Linked DNA regions of Drosophila melanogaster. The protein of the gene in region 1 binds, or shares a complex with, the protein of each later gene. Each region holds a gene or a part of one and is shown in the gene's direction. Other genes may lie near its edges. The genes, in order: dgt4 and dgt2.

What was found.
Region 2: dgt4 (region 1) and dgt2 share a complex: the UniProt entries of both Drosophila melanogaster proteins name them as parts of the augmin complex.

What each region holds. Positions count from the first base shown.
Region 1 is NC_004354.4:4,111,663-4,115,599, forward strand, and holds dgt4 (dim gamma-tubulin 4), read left to right. Parts: upstream 1-2,038; 5' UTR 2,039-2,273; intron 2,274-2,401; 5' UTR 2,402-2,565; coding exon 2,566-3,132; 3' UTR 3,133-3,266; downstream 3,267-3,937. Other genes in the region: Nsun2 (NOP2-Sun domain family, member 2), read right to left, coding at 1-1,805, 1,883-1,942; Tip60 (Tat interactive protein 60kDa), read right to left, coding at 3,267-3,267, 3,340-3,552, 3,658-3,937. UniProt on the Drosophila melanogaster protein: As part of the augmin complex, plays a role in centrosome-independent generation of spindle microtubules. The complex is required for mitotic spindle assembly through its involvement in localizing gamma-tubulin to spindle microtubules.
Region 2 is NT_033779.5:11,988,297-11,991,749, forward strand, and holds dgt2 (dim gamma-tubulin 2), read left to right. Parts: upstream 1-1,639; 5' UTR 1,640-1,727; coding exon 1,728-1,959; intron 1,960-2,016; coding exon 2,017-2,480; 3' UTR 2,481-2,676; downstream 2,677-3,453. Other genes in the region: CG34163 (uncharacterized protein), read left to right, coding at 22-33, 88-339; zuc (zucchini), read right to left, coding at 767-1,528; escl, read left to right, coding at 2,677-2,975, 3,034-3,223, 3,279-3,453. UniProt on the Drosophila melanogaster protein: As part of the augmin complex, plays a role in centrosome-independent generation of spindle microtubules.

The sequences.
Region 1 (3,937 bases):
TGGGTTTCCTTCTTCAGTTCGTGAGTCGACGGCGGCTGCGTGGGATCAGTGCAATTGAGCATCATTACCAGGTCCTCCCGCTCCACCTGGATTCTCCTGCTGGCGCCCATGAAGGCATTGGAGGTCTGGAGGCCCTCCTGGGCCAATCGGAAGGGATGCACCGTATGCCGGTTCTCGCAGCGCACGAATGTCTTAACGCCCGTGTTGATGATCTTAATGTTGTTTTCGTTGTTAAGCACCAAATCGCGGATGGGTTCAGAGCAGTAATAGATGTTCTTCTTTTTCTCCGTGACACAGCGAGTTAAGAGACATCGTTGACTAAGGGATTCGTCCAGCTGGTAGAACTCCTTGATCGCCTGGTAGTCAGGATCATTCTCGCCGAAGAAGACATAAGGATCTTCCTTGTAGCCATGCAGACGTCGCTTCTTTCGCTGCGGTCCCCACGGAACGGACTTCTCCTCGATGGGCTTGCCATCCGCGTCCACTTGCGGCTCAGCTGCAGGCTGCTTGGCCGTCTCGTTCAGCTTTACCAGCTCCACCACATCGTTCTTTTCGAAGCTTAGCTGACGACGCTTCTCCAACACGGCTACAAAGAAGCCGCCGCTGTCCTGGAGATGCGGCAATACGCGGAGGCACTTCTCCAACCCGATCTTGGCCATCTCGTCGGCCGGCAGAGGGAACATACCGGGCCGTATTATAGTGTGCAGGCTTTCAGGCACTTCCTCAAAGCGGGTAAAGATCTGGTCCACCTCCTTGGTGGCCAGCTTCCAGTCGGTCATGCCGGGCTTGTACTTAAGACCTGGCACCAAGTGCCCCGCATCCACCAGCTCCAATGCACCGTCGGCATCCTTTATGATCCGCTGCAGCACCGCCTCGTTCTCGATGGGATTCAGTGAGCAGGTGGAGTACACCAGCCTTCCGCCAACCTCCAGCATCTCAGCGCCACGACGTACGATGCGGTATTGAATGCCGTGGAGGTTGTAGGCCTGTGCCAGGTTCCACTTCAGCCAAATGTCTGGATTCTTGCGCAGTGTGCCGTCGCCGGAGCAAGGTACATCGCACAAGATCTTATCGAACTTAAGGATCGCCTTTGAGCCGTCCGGCTTCGTGGTCACGAGATTGGGAAAGACACTGCTGTCGTGGTTGGTCACCAACAGGCAGGGCGAGTTTAGACGCTTGGCTTGGTGAACCAGCATGTAGCACCGATTGTTGTCTACATCGTTGGCCAGCACAAAGCCGGGCGGAATCTTGTGCTCCTCGGGAGCAGCGTGCAGAGCCTCAATGAGCTGGGCTGTCTTCGAACCTGGCGCAGCACACATGTCCAAAACTTTGTCCGTGGGTCGGACATCCAGGACAATTGGCGGGATCATGGATACGGCCTCCTGCCTGCTGATGCCGCCCGCCGTGGTCTCCACAATTAGGAAGTTGTGCAGCCGGTAGAGCGGCTCCGAGCGTCGAATGTCCTTGCGGGTAAGGTGCAGCTGGTAGGCCAGTCCGTTTGGATACCACGGCAGGCACAGCGGACGTTCCACATCCTCGGGCGCCTTCTGGTGCAGCTCGGCCACCGCCCTCACATACTCGGTGAATAGCTGCGTCTCAATAATGGATAGCAGGGCTTTGGCCTCGTCCTTGAATCCTGTCACACGGAAAGTAGTGGGCAGATTGTCCCTGATGGAAGCAAGGAACTGCGTCCACTCCTCATCGGTGGCGCAGATCTTCTGCAGTTGGTAGTACTTGATGAAGAAGGCATTATCCCTTTTGATCTCCTCATACGGCTGGGCCTGACGATCGGTGCGCTTGGGACCCTTTAAGATAAAAAATATATTTAAGAATAAAATCCAAAAACGTGGAATGTTTCTCCTTTCAAATTGAGGTGACTCACATTCTCCCGCTTTTGACGTTTGCGAGCCGCGAAAAAATTTTGCTTCTGGTTTCGACCCATTTGTCAATATCAATACCAAGTTATCAGTCCACTGAATATGTTTAAAAAAAATTAGGCAAGCGTTGTGTGTTTTCTAAACGAAACGAATAGTTAAAACGTGTTCGTCGCCTAACTGGCAACGCTGTCGCGCGAGAGTCGCCGGACATTTGGTGCTTGGAAGGGAAGGTGAAATATGCTGCTAAAGAAGTGAAATTGAATTGAAAGGGAATTACTTTTTACAGTACTTGGTTTCCGTGCTGCAAGGAATTGACTTGTTTTTAAACGTTAACTTCATTTGCATGGCTTACATTTTTAGCCCCAAAATCAATAAGAGCTGGTTTCCCAACTATCGGTAAGCAAAATCAAACAACTTATTTCAGTTTTCTAGAAACTTTAAAAACCTGTTAGTTTATGTAAGGAAACCTACATATCTTGTTGTTATTTACATTTTCGAATTATTTTCATTTTTTTTTTATATAGTTATTAATAGCCAAATTTGACTCGAACATAGCTACGCGCCTATCGTTACAAAAATCTCCGTTAGCCGACTTCAAATGCTACCGATAGCAGCTGCGAAAGCGATAGCGTCGGCAATCGAATCCGAATTTCCCACTTTAAAAACTAAGAAGTTTTTGTAAGCCACTATGGAAACTCCACCCACTCCCACCACGACCACACCGCCATCATTGACAACTGAGGGCACCATGGACGACATCCAATACCTGCTGCACCTGGAGGCGATGCGCCGTTTTCAGGAAGACAGCCGCAATGTAAAGCGCCAGGTGGAGGAGCAAGTACGCATTTGGCTGGACGCCAAGTGTGAGTATCAGCGGGACTTTGGGCGGCTGGCGAGGCTCCTGAAGTGCGGAGCCCTGCAGGCGGCCGTGGATGCCCATCGTGTATCTGATGTGAATCAAGTCGACCAGGCGGCCAAGGATATCGCTAGTTTGCGATCCAAACTGGGCAGTGATCTGCGTCCCGCCATTCTGGACTCCAACGATGTGAAGCAGTGCCTGGAACATCTGAACACCACCCACAAACCGCGCCTAAATCTATGCCGGCAACAACGGGAGTTCGCCCAGAACCAAGAAGCTCTAAGAAGTTTGCGTACCGCCGTCGATGGATTGGAGAATGGTATGGAGATGGGCATGATACAGGCAATGGACCGCCTTGTGGAGGATCTTCTCCCACCGCGGGAAACAAACAACTAGCCGGTCGTCTCAAAAGTATATATAATATTGTATGATATAAACTAGTTTATAACATTAAAAACGGAAACTGTAAATGAAAACTACAAGCTACAACGAAGCCAGGATCATCCGATGAAGAATATTGGTAGCGGAAATCTAAAAACAAAAAAAAACGGATTCAAAGCTGTTTAAACTCAGTTATTTATACGGAGAAGATGAGGAGATTACCATTTGGAGCGCTTGGACCAGTCTTTGGGTGTCCAGTGCAGGCATTTCGAGTCGATGCGGATCTTGCGCTTGTCCATTGCTCGCCGGTGTTGCTCGATGATAACCCGGTTGATGCACACGATGTACTGGCCCTTGTAGTAGTTGATCAGGTTCAGGTTCTGCAGCGTTGAGATCACGTCCTCTTTTTTGATGGATGTGCATTCGCAGATGTCGCTGTGAAGAAAAATTTTGGGAGCATGATTAATCTATGTTTCGGCAATGAAGCACAATCTCTGTGGATTGAAAATTGTATTACTTTAAGCTTAGAACTAGCCATACTTTATAGTTATAGTGGGCTTTTCGCCGTCCGTGCTCGGGTTTTGGCTGATAAAGATCTCCAGTATGGTTTGCGCCCAGTACGATCGATAGGACAGCAAACCCAGATCAGACAATGGTTTCTCCGGCGATCCCGTCTTGCCCTCGAACTTGGACAACTCGTAGCTGAACTCAATGAGCAGCTTGCCGTAGCCCTTGCGCTGATACGGAGGCATTGTGAGAATGCAGGCCACGTTGTAGTCCTCTGTGCTCTCCTTCTCCTTGGAGAAGTACCCTACTATGT
Region 2 (3,453 bases), on another chromosome or scaffold:
GCGGAGATCTCCACATAAACAATGGAAATTAAAGTACGTAAACAAATTATTTGCGACCTAAAACTTATTTCATTTTGATCCCCGTAGAAGTCCAAGAAATCAAAGAACGACAAGAAGTCCAAGGCGCCCAAGGAGTCGTCCGTTTCGCTCAAACTGAACGCTTTGCATCGCAAGCAAAAGGAAGTCGCCCGCGTGCTCACTTTAAAACAAGAAATATTACTGAAATCGGGTGTATCCTATCTGGAATATTATGAGATTCTGGCAGAAATCGAACGACTCAACGGCCTAAAGGAGTCATTTATGCGCCGCGCTGATAAGCTGAAGCAACAGGACAAATAGTTGATAAGTTGGTTTGGTTTAGAAACTATATAAGAGTAAAGAAATCTGTAGCAGTTATATTTCGGAATGTTTTGTACATACATACATGTAATCTTTTTTGTAATTAACTTTTATTTACTTAAAAGCTTTCAATAACATGATGAATAAAGTAGAAAGTTATATATATAGTCAAAGCTGATCATAACTAAATGCACGTTGAAAATTAGTCAACTCAATCGAAGTGATAAAGATTTCATACGGATTATACTGTTAGGTATACATTTTGATTACTTTTGTTTTGCTTAATTAATTTGGCACTCCTTTGTGTGTGAAGATCAAGCTGCCTTAAAAAGTTTTAGTTTAATTGAAGGCACTTAGAAAATAAGAACTATAATTATTTGGCATACTGAGGAACTGTTTGGTAGTCATACATTAAATCAATTGATTTCTACTTGAGCTGGATTTGGCTCCCCTCGGTCTTCGCAAAAGCCCGCCACATTCGTTGGAATTCCGCCTGAAACGTGGCTGTGAGTTTGTCGTCAGCTGTGATAATGCAGTTCTCCCAATTGCCTCCCAGTCCAAGAGCCGTCCAGTTTACGGAGCCGCTGATCACGATGCTATAGCACGGACGCATAAACTTGAGCTTCCTCAGCAGACGAATCTCCTCGACGCGCTCGAAGCCGTCGATTATGCAGAATTTGTTGTGCATCAAGTTCGTGGTAATGGGGACGCGAACTGGAACTCCCAATTGTGCCAGCATACTGATCTGAGAACCTTTGGAGTAGACCATCTCCCCGTCGCTGATGATCCGGATAATCACGCCGCGCTGCAGGGCCCGCTTTATTGAATCCGCCAAAAAAAGCGAGGTGAAGGTGTATATGGCCAGGTCAATGGAGTATACAGCCCGATCGATCTGCTCTACGATCTTGGCCACATTCCGCAGCGAACAATGCGTGTTGCAGCAGGGCGACACTTGTGGTTTCTGGGATCCCATGCTGCTGTTGCGCATATGCACCGCCGCACAGATCTCGCCCAGTTCATTGAAGATGATCACTTCGTGCACGCGGCTTGCCTTCTCTCGCTTGCTGCGCGAGCACTGCACCAGCTTCCAAATCACCTCTGAGGCCAGGACAGTGCTGACGGCAATGCTTATTGTGGACACAATGGGATAGTCTCGAATTTGTTTCATAATTATTTGGGTAATCAACATTTTTGAATTTAGCTCGTTTCTCTAGCGCGCTTTAAATAATAATCTTGGGGTGACCATTATAAAATATAAGTAAAATATATTATCGTTAGTAGCTACCGGTCACACTGTTGCTCAGTAGCGTTGCCGTATCGCAGCCATGCGCTTGCCCATTCGAATCAAACAATCAATTTCGGGTCAATTTAAGCATTTTACCACCTAAATGGATGATCCATCCGCCACGCTCTTGCCCGAACACTCGGAAGATTTGCGGCTGGCTCGCGATGCGGAGCTGAAGAAGGTGCTCAAGCTGAAGCTAGTGCTGGACGAGCTAAGACGCCTGGATGTGGGCCCAAATCCGAGTGATGAAATCAAAAGAGCCCTCAAATTGGTTTCCATTGGAAGTTATGCGCGACTCGGCGAGATGGAGGGAGCTGGTCAGGAGCAGGTGCTTGGTAGGCGCGTTACAAGTTTATTCCAAAAGCAGTGAATAACCATTGGAAATCTAACAGGTCTACCGAGCGGCAGCAGTTTTCCGCCCTTGAATTACACGGATCGCAAGACGGTGCGTACCAAATTGTCCGCTCAATTACGCACAACTCTGCAACCCATTGCCGAATTGTGCGACAGGATACGCGAGGAGTTCCCGGACGCCTTTGGCCAGGAGGCGGACTTAAGCTGCGACCAAAAGGAGATTCTGCGCCTGGAGGAGGAGCATCGCAGCGGTCTGGAGAAATTGGTTGCGCTTCTCACTCGTAAGTGCACGCTTCTCAAGGAGACCGCCGAATTGAAATTGGGGCCGCAGTTGGCAAACGAACTAAAATTGCAACAGGCGCAGGCGCAACTTGTTCAAACAAAAGCAGAACTACTGCGCGGATTTTTCGTCCACGAGGCCGCCTCTCGCACCGAACATAGCGTCAAGGCACATAAGGAGGTGGAGGCGCACCTGGACGAGCTGCTCGCCGCCAAGAAGTAGATTTAAGCAAACTAGTATTATGTAAATTAGATTTTTAAATACATTATAATTGTGATTTAAACAGGGTTGTTCGTTTAGGTCTTTTCGCTCTAGAATGGCAACACTGTTTTGCACTGCAGTATTTGCAGACGGTCACTCTAGGGATAAACAATTTGTAAACAAAAGAAGCTTTTAAGTTTGCCGGAATAAAACAGATATGACCGAAACGAATCCCAGTGAAATATCTCCTCCGAGCGAAGAGCCACCGGCAGAGGACGAATCCACTGACCACTCTCCAGCGGAGGCAGTGCTGAGCAATAATTCCTCGAGTGTCTGCAATGTTGTGGAGCCGGATGATGAGCACGAAGTTAATTCCGTGGATCGGGAGGACACCGCCAGTTTGTTCAGCACTACTACGACCACCACCAGAAGCAAATCGCCAAATACACGAAAATTGAACCGCCTGTGTCGGCGGATCAAGGCACCCAAAATGGTTCAGCCCTTGTACAAATATAGGTGTGATTTTTCCAGGCAGAACATAAGTCATAATGTTTATATCCCGGATGCATTGCAGCTCCCATGTCCGCGAGGACCACAACCATCAGATCTTCGGAGTGCAGTTCAATCCGTTCCTGGACAGAGGCCAGCCGCAGGTGTTCGCCACCGTTGGCAAGGATCGGGTTTCCATTTATGAGTGCGAGAGGAGCACCGGACAGGAGTCCTGCGAAGGCATTCGACTGCTGCAAGTCTACGCAGACCCAGATGTAAGTACTCATCATATGCTATTACTTACATACATCATCGTTACGCCCTCGTTAGACCGATGAAAGTTTCTACACATGCGCTTGGTCCTACGACTCTGTGACCGGCGATCCTGTGCTTGCCGCGGCTGGTTACCGCGGCGTCATTCGCATATTCAATCCGGTTAAGCACCAGTGCAGCAAAAACTACATTGGTCACGGGCACGCCATTAACGAGCTGAAGTTTCATCCGA